2 linked regions of the Cricetulus griseus genome follow. The protein of the gene in region 1 purifies or fractionates together with the protein of each later gene. This does not show direct contact. Links are inferred from orthologs where the notes say so. Each region holds a gene or a part of one and is shown on either strand. Other genes may lie near its edges.

Region 1 (3,746 bases):
CCCATGCCTAGGCCTATCTTTCGTCCTCCTGAGTTAAGAAGTCTATGTTTGCCCCTATGCATGGGAAGGCGAAGGCCCTTGTATTGGTTTTAAGTGAACCCACTTTACTCATAAAGAATTTGGGATGATTTTGTAGAAGAAATGCATAGTGGAATAAGAGTGAAGAAAACAAAATGAAGCCAGCTAATACATAAACAAAAAATAGCAAGTGGGAAAAACAAATCTTTTCCCGACATCATTTCCCCAAACTCCACCGATAAGTGTCTGCTGAAAGCTTCAAACCTGGGCAGAACCAAAACTGGTCCATGGTTGCTTTCTGAATGTTCTATTCAAAGAACATTCCAGCATGGTGGTGAAGCACTCTCTCTCTCTCTTTCTCTTTCTCTCTCTCTCTCTCTCTCTCTCTCTCTCTCTCTCTCTCTCTCTCTCTCTCTCTCTCTTTCTCTCCTCTCTCTCTCTTCTGTCTCTTGTCTAAAGTGGTACCATGAGCCACAGTTGGATGTTGGCTATACTGAAATATGGCTAATGAGAATAAGAATTGAATTTTAAATTTTATTTCCTTTAATGGCCACCTGTGGCTAATGCCCACTGTGTTTGTATAAGACCAGTACTGTGGCCCAAGACGGAAAAGGGCAACTCAGCAAAATGGGCTTCTCCTCCCCAACAGACCCCAGGAGCACCCCTTGGATATACTTTACTGGCACAGACAGCAATATAGCAAGTCTCTCAACATTTCATTTTAACAAACCAAGTGTTTTTAAATGTTTCTCCATGTTGTGCTTGACATCGCAAATGCTGTTGGCTCCGCAATCTTGTACAATGACCACCTTTTATATCCTCAATGGGCCTCTCCCATGGTCATATCTGTAGGCCAATCCTGTTGGCCTCCTAGACCATGACCTCCAATAACACTTTGGAAGCTAATGGGAGAATAATTTGTCTAGAAAATTTTCCTGTGGCAGCCTTCTCATTCAGGTGACTTATTGTAGTTTGAGGTTCCAGCCAGGGCTGGGAACTGCTAGTACGTTCTACAAAGGGCCCCTGGTGGGACAAGGCTAGGTTCCAGCTGCAGGTCCCTCCAACCCTTGTCCTCCATACCTTACAGTTGATCTTGGTGGCACTTCTGGAGTCAGCAGTGCCCCGGACGCCGCTGGAACTCTCGGCCTCATAGTTGTATACGTACTTCCGGAGGTGCTTGAATCGGGTTGCATCTTCTAAAGTGAGGAGAAAAATATGTCAGCCCCGAAGCTGAAGCGACTTTCTTAAGGCAGCTACTGCTGGCCAGAGAGGGTCAGTGGCATAGGGTAAAAGTGGTGACCGAACTCAAGTACTTGTGGTTGACTTTTCATTATGCTTAATTTGTCTTTATAGATTTAACATCAGCACTGTTTTGTTTTCTGAGTCTGATGATTAAATTATTTGTGATTCCTTAGATCATCTAAAGTACATGGAAGGGAGGGCGCCAAGCATCAATTAATGGAGCTACAAAAATCTGTAGGAAGACCCTTTGAAAAATTGACTTATCAAAGGGATAGGGCTCAGCATTTCTCAGCGTGAAGACGCTATCATGAAATGACTATGAAGTTCCTGAGACAAAATTAATTGTTAGGGCCGTCTATCTGACTTTCAGACACCCTCCAAGAAGAAACTTCTGCAAGTTTCTTTCCATTGTGCTTGGCAGGAATTTTGTGGTTGATATGACAAAAATAACTTGGCTAGGAACTCGGATGTAATACTGCCAAATAACCACCAGATGGCGGTGCTGCCCCATCAGAGGGGAGGCCAACCCTGGCGCTTTCCCGAGAACACTGGGTATTGCAGCACGATTGATCCTCTGACCTGGAGGGTCAGGTAAATAGGAAGGGGTGGAGGGTCTGGAGTTCCGCACAAAGGTTAAAGTCGCCATTTCCTCACATAATCGGAATCAATGATTAGTCAGTGATAAACAGCACAGTAATGTCTCCTTACAGGGCCCACAGTCTCTTCCCTACCCCACCTCGGGACCGAGCCTTGGAATAGGACAGAAGGGCCGGGATCCTTTGGAAGAGGAGACTGGGTTCACAGAGACTCAAAACCTTCGCTTCCGGGGCTCAGAGCAGTGCCCCCTAATCTGAGGCCCTTAGGAATAGTTGCAGAGGAGGGCAGGGTGGAATGCGCCCAGTGTGCGCTGTGGAGAAATGCCTTACTTGGACAGTTCAAACTGAAGTTTTCCAGGACTTCATCTTCTGTAAGAGAAAAAGGAAACCTTGAGCTCTCCCTTATTTTCCAGTGGGTTCCAGGGGTTGACAGGAGGGACCCTCGGAGGCCTTCATTATTCTAGGGCTATCCAGAGACTTTTAACTTTCCCATCCACTGTCCTCGCCTGGAGCCCGGTGGAGCCCCCTGCTAGCTCTGGTTCTCACCACCCCTTCCCTAGAACCTCAGCGGCTGCCCTCCCTCTAACCTGGCCCAAGCTATCTAGCGGTCACCCTGCCACCAGTTTCCACTCCTGGATGCAACTGATGGTTTAAAGCCACAACTCAGGGCTCTGGTCCCCACCCTGGCTTTCACCGAGCCTTCTTCCCTCACTTACGAGCCCAGACGCTGGTGTCCAAGAAGAGTAGCAGGAACAGCAGCAGCAGCAGCGGAAGCCGCAGTGCAGGGCTCTGTGGGCCCATGGCCGATGGATGGGTTCGGTGGCTCCCTGGCTTTGGCCTGGCCACGGCCTAGCCCCGCTGCTGGTTCTGCAGGCTCTTCCGAGGCGACACCCAGTCAGGTCCTTGATCCACTGCAGGCACTGATGAATGCTCGGTCACCTGCAAAGTGCTCCATTTATAGGAGGCTCTGGCTTAGGGAGAATTGCCAAAGGTCCAAAGGGCATGGCCTGGGCTTGTTTGCTTTTCCACACAAGCTTATATCTGGGTGGCTAAGACTGAGTCTGATGGGGTCTCACTGCTGGTTCAGCCACTACCACCTGAGATTTTCTCAGAGCTGGTCTTTTCTCAGGGGGTCTCAGGCAGTGGATGGTGGGCTTACTGTCCTGTAAGCCTTCCCTGGCTGTCATCAGGAGACAACCAGCCATAGGGACAACGACCCCACTCCTGTGCTGACTATGGAGCCATTTAGTAAACTGTTCTTAATGTCTTGGTGGGGGCTCCTTCTTAAATTCTTTCCCTTTTTGGTGGACTTTGGGCTTGAATAAGCAGCCCGGTCCTGACTAATTTAACCAGTACAGGTGGCTGTGGGGAGGGAGGAGAAAGGGGAAAACCTGGGAAGTCTCCCATAAATCTCAGTGAAGACCGCGCCCCTGGAGGAGACCAGGGCCCAGTGTCAGTCATAGAAAGTGGGATAGAACTGTGATGGCCTGGAGAGGTGAATGTCTGAGCTGGGCTGTGCCCTCACAGCACCCCCAATCTAGTTGGGGGTGATACACCTCATAAAGAGGAAGCTGCAGGTAAAAAATTAAGGTAGGATGTAGAGAATGTTAATTCTTGTGGGTGTTGGGAGATGGTGGGGCACTTGGGAAGGAGTGGTTCTAAGTGGTGGCCTAGGGACAGTGGAGCGGAACTGAGGGGACTGGAGTCCTGGAAATACAGTTGTAGAAGTCAGTATCTATCACTACAGTATGTCGTGTGTGGACACAAATACAGATTCATGGGTACCCATGTGTAGATGTCCATGCACCTGTGTGTACATGCATGCAGAGGTCATGGGTCACATTTTAGTGTTTCTCAAAAATCACTCATTGCCTTAGCTTTTGAGGCAGG
Region 2 (3,746 bases), on another chromosome or scaffold:
GAACACCTTTAATCCCAGCACTTGGCATTGGCTAGCCTAGTCTATAAAGTACCAGGACAGCCAGACTGTCATACAGAGAAACCCTGTCTGGACCTGTCTGGGAAAAGAAAGAGAGAGAGAGAGAGAGAGAGAGAGAGAGATTGATTGATTTCAGGACAACCTCCAATGTGACTATGAGTCCAGACCCTTGCTCTAGAGATGAGTGGTATGGCTGTTAAAAGACCTATAATTCAGCTACCCATAGAGATTAGAGCTGGTAACCTCTAACAGAGCTGAAAGCAACTGCAGCTTCTAAATGTTCTTTACGAAAATCTATCTGTGCATGACTCAGGTCCTTTCCAGAATTCAAAGACCACACAAGGGAACTTGGGAAAGTTCAGGTGAGAACCTAAAGGTAGAAACCACCTATGATGCCAGATTTCAGAAATTTTAATTTAAAAAAAAAAAAAAGGATCTTCCAGTCTCTTTGGCCTCAGTGGGCGAATGAAGCACCTAAAAGTTGTCAATCGAATATTCAGACAGGGATTCCGTGAAGGGACAACACCTAAACCCAAGAGGGCAGCTGTTGCAGCATCCAGTTCATCTTGAGGATTTTAGTCAGTCTTAAAAATAAAATGTTCTGAGCTGGGCGTTGGTGGCACATGCTTTAATCCCAGCACTGGGAGGCAGAGGCAGGCGGATCTCTGTGAGTTAGAGACCAGCCTGGTCTCCAGAGCGAGTGCCAGGATAGGCTCCAAAGCTACACAGAGAAACCCTGTCTCAAAAAACCAATAAATAAATAAATAAATAAATAAATAAATAAAATGTTCTGGTTTCTGGGGCATACAGTGATTTTCCTATAATCCCATTACTTTGGGGACAGGGGACAGAAACACCAGGAATTCAAAAACAGCCTTGACTACATGGCTGAGTTTGAGGCCAATCTGGTCTACACTGGGCAGTGGCAGAGCACAACTATAATCCCAGCACTTGGGAGGCAGAGACAGATGGATCTCAGAGTTCTAGGCCAGCCTGGTCTAAAGAGTGAGTTCCAAAACCACCAGGGCTACACAGAGAAACCCTGTCTCAAAAAAACCAGAAAGAAAGAAAGAGAGAGAGAGAGAGAGAGAGAGAGATCAAAGGTAAAATACCACAGAATACTTTTAAAGTATATTTTGTTGTTTTTTGAGGCAAGGTCTATGTAGCCCAGGAACTCCCATTGTAAAGACCAGGATAGCCTAGAACTTTCTGCCTTTAAGTGCTGGGATTAAAGATGTGCACCACCCAACACACCCTGGCTATTTAAAATATTAGTACTTTTAACTAAGCAACTGAGTGAATACTTCATTCCAAGGAAATGAAACTTAAAAACACCTAATCACCTCAAAACATCGACAGAAGATTTGTATAGTTTCCTAGGCTTGCTGCTTTTTGTTTTGTTTTCAGTATGGTAAACTCTAGTTTCTCAACTGAATGGGCTGAAATGACTAGGTTTTATTTGATGCTTTCCTTAAAAGTTGGGGCCCTAAAATCCTAAAGCCCAGACAATCTCTGATCGTTGCTGCTTGGATAAGTGTGCATATTTAAGAGTTATTTAAAAGTTAAAACAACTCTAACCTGCAATCTCTGAAAGTCAAAACACAGAAAGCAAAAACAAAACAAACTCAGATTCTAACTTCAGCACGTTAAAATAGAAAAACAGTTTTCTAACCACCCCCTGAACATAGCAAAAATAATAAAATAATAAAAATAATAGGTAAAGCTTCCTGGTATTTACAACAGGCCTAACATGGTGAAAAATTGCCATCTGAGAAAAGCACGACCTAACAGGCCCTTCACTACCCAGGATGCAAAAGATGCCAACCTCAGGCAAGGCCGTACGGGCTCCACCAAGGCCGACCTGGCTTCCCCCAGGTTGCTCGGCCCGGCCTTCCCCTGAGTCTCAGGGCTCCTGAGGCCTTCACGTGGCCCAAAGTCCACGCCCACTGGGCCCAGTCGAGGCCTCCGGCTTGCAGTGTTTTCTCTTCGCGGGCTTAGGGTCTTCCGCGTGTGGTCGGTGAAGTGGCCGGAGGGCATCCCAGAGCCACAGAGCTCCGTGCCGGCAGTGTGAACCCTAAGGCCTAAGTAGGCCGGGGCCGCCTTGCCGAGGGAGCTCGTCAGGCCAGCCGGGGCCTGCATGACACAGCACCATCTTGCCCAGGCTCAGACCCGGGCCCAGCGCGGGCCCGACCTAGGGGGCGCGCGGGTGCACAGCCCGGCCCGAGGCCCTCACTCGCCCCTTTCCTCTCCTTCCGTCCCTCTCCTCCCGGCCTAGACTCTCCTCAGACGCGGCCCTACCGGGCCTACCCAGCGCGGCGAGTCCCACGCGTGCGCGCCTCCGCCCAGCCGGCGGGCGGGCGCGGCGGGCGGCGGCCCTGCGCGCATACACTTACTCGGCTCCAGAGGCCATGGCGCGCGCCTGTCCCGGTCGGCGGCTGTGGCGGCCTGAGGGTAACGGCTATGAGAATGGCAGGCGACCGGCTAGGCCCGGGCTTGACTCACTCAGGCGGTGGATCAACAGCGGTGACAAACCCTCAGGCAGCCTCCCTCTCGCTTCCTCCCAGCGGCACCGGGGCGGCAGGCGGGCGGGAGACGCTAGCTCCTGATCCGCGAGGGGGTCAGCGGCAGCGACTAATCAAACGACGGCAGCAAACGCTTCGCTGAGACTGAGCCGAGAAGAGCCGAATCATCGGAAGGAAAGCTGCTCTCACCTCAACCAATCAGAGCCTGCCTTGGGACTCGTGCCCGCCTCTCCGTGCCTCTCCCCAGCAACCCGCGGACCACAACCAATCAGAAAATTCGTTTATGGCCTGGCCCCACCTCAAGGCTGCAACACGCCTAGTAACGCCACGTCAATTGGCCGCAGCACTACGCTTCCTCGACGGATTGGGATTCTTGACCAATCAGCAAAAGGAATAGGCCAGATTGTCTGGTAAAAGGAGAGCCTTTAATGCCTCCGAGGAGGCCTCTCCTACTTGGCTCCAGCTGATTGGCTCCTTAGTTTATAAGCTGCTGGAAGAACCTAACACAATGGCTTGAACCCTTATTAGTTTAGTCGGGTTGTAATGGCAACCCACGTAGTCGATTTCTCGCCAATCCTGGCGATCCTCTTATTCCACCACAATAACCCTTTAAAACACTGGCTCCAACGAAGGGCGTGGTGGATGGTCTAGGTCTGTAACCCTAGCAATTGGGAAGCAGAGGCAGGAGAATTATTAGTTGGAGATCAATTCAGGACCTTTTCTGAAAAACAAAACCGGGTTGGGCATAGTGGTGCAGATCTATAATTCTAGCGTCAAAGGAATATCTCAAAAATAAATTTTAAAAGCAGTGTAGTGGCACATGCTTTTAATTTCAACACTTCGAAGACAGCGGCAGGCTGACCTCTTGAGATTTAAATCAGGCTGGTCTATTAAAAAAAAATAATAATTGCAGCCAGTCAGGGCTACATAGTGAGACCCTGTATCAAAACTAAGTAAATAAAATTTTAAAAAAACCACACACACAAAAAAAAAAAAAAAAACAGCTGGGTATGGTGGTGTTCATCCTAGATGCCAGTACTCCACAGACTAAAAGCAGGAGGGTTGAGTTTGAAGCCAGCTAGTGCTACACAGCTAGACTAGGTCTACCAAAACCTAGTCACCCTTTCCCTGGGCCCTAGTTCTGAGTCAGCAGAACCCCAGCTCTTAATTCAGTCTATTGACTGATTTTTCAGTCTATTGACTAAT

What was found. The genes of interacting proteins can lie anywhere in the genome.
Region 2: the proteins of Apob (region 1) and Vcp purify together in Homo sapiens (affinity purification with western blotting, with the first as the bait; 3 studies listed by BioGRID). This does not show direct contact. The link is inferred for Cricetulus griseus from reciprocal best matches to the Homo sapiens genes APOB and VCP.

Annotation. Positions count from the first base shown.
Region 1 is NC_048600.1:18,391,942-18,395,687, reverse strand, and holds the start of Apob (apolipoprotein B-100), read right to left. Parts: upstream 2,658-3,746; coding exon 2,573-2,657; intron 2,226-2,572; coding exon 2,187-2,225; intron 1,215-2,186; coding exon 1,099-1,214; intron 1-1,098. UniProt on the Homo sapiens protein: Apolipoprotein B is a major protein constituent of chylomicrons (apo B-48), LDL (apo B-100) and VLDL (apo B-100). Apo B-100 functions as a recognition signal for the cellular binding and internalization of LDL particles by the apoB/E receptor.
Region 2 is NC_048595.1:100,537,039-100,540,784, reverse strand, and holds the start of Vcp (transitional endoplasmic reticulum ATPase), read right to left. Parts: upstream 2,694-3,746; 5' UTR 2,429-2,693; coding exon 2,412-2,428; intron 1-2,411. UniProt on the Homo sapiens protein: Necessary for the fragmentation of Golgi stacks during mitosis and for their reassembly after mitosis. Involved in the formation of the transitional endoplasmic reticulum (tER).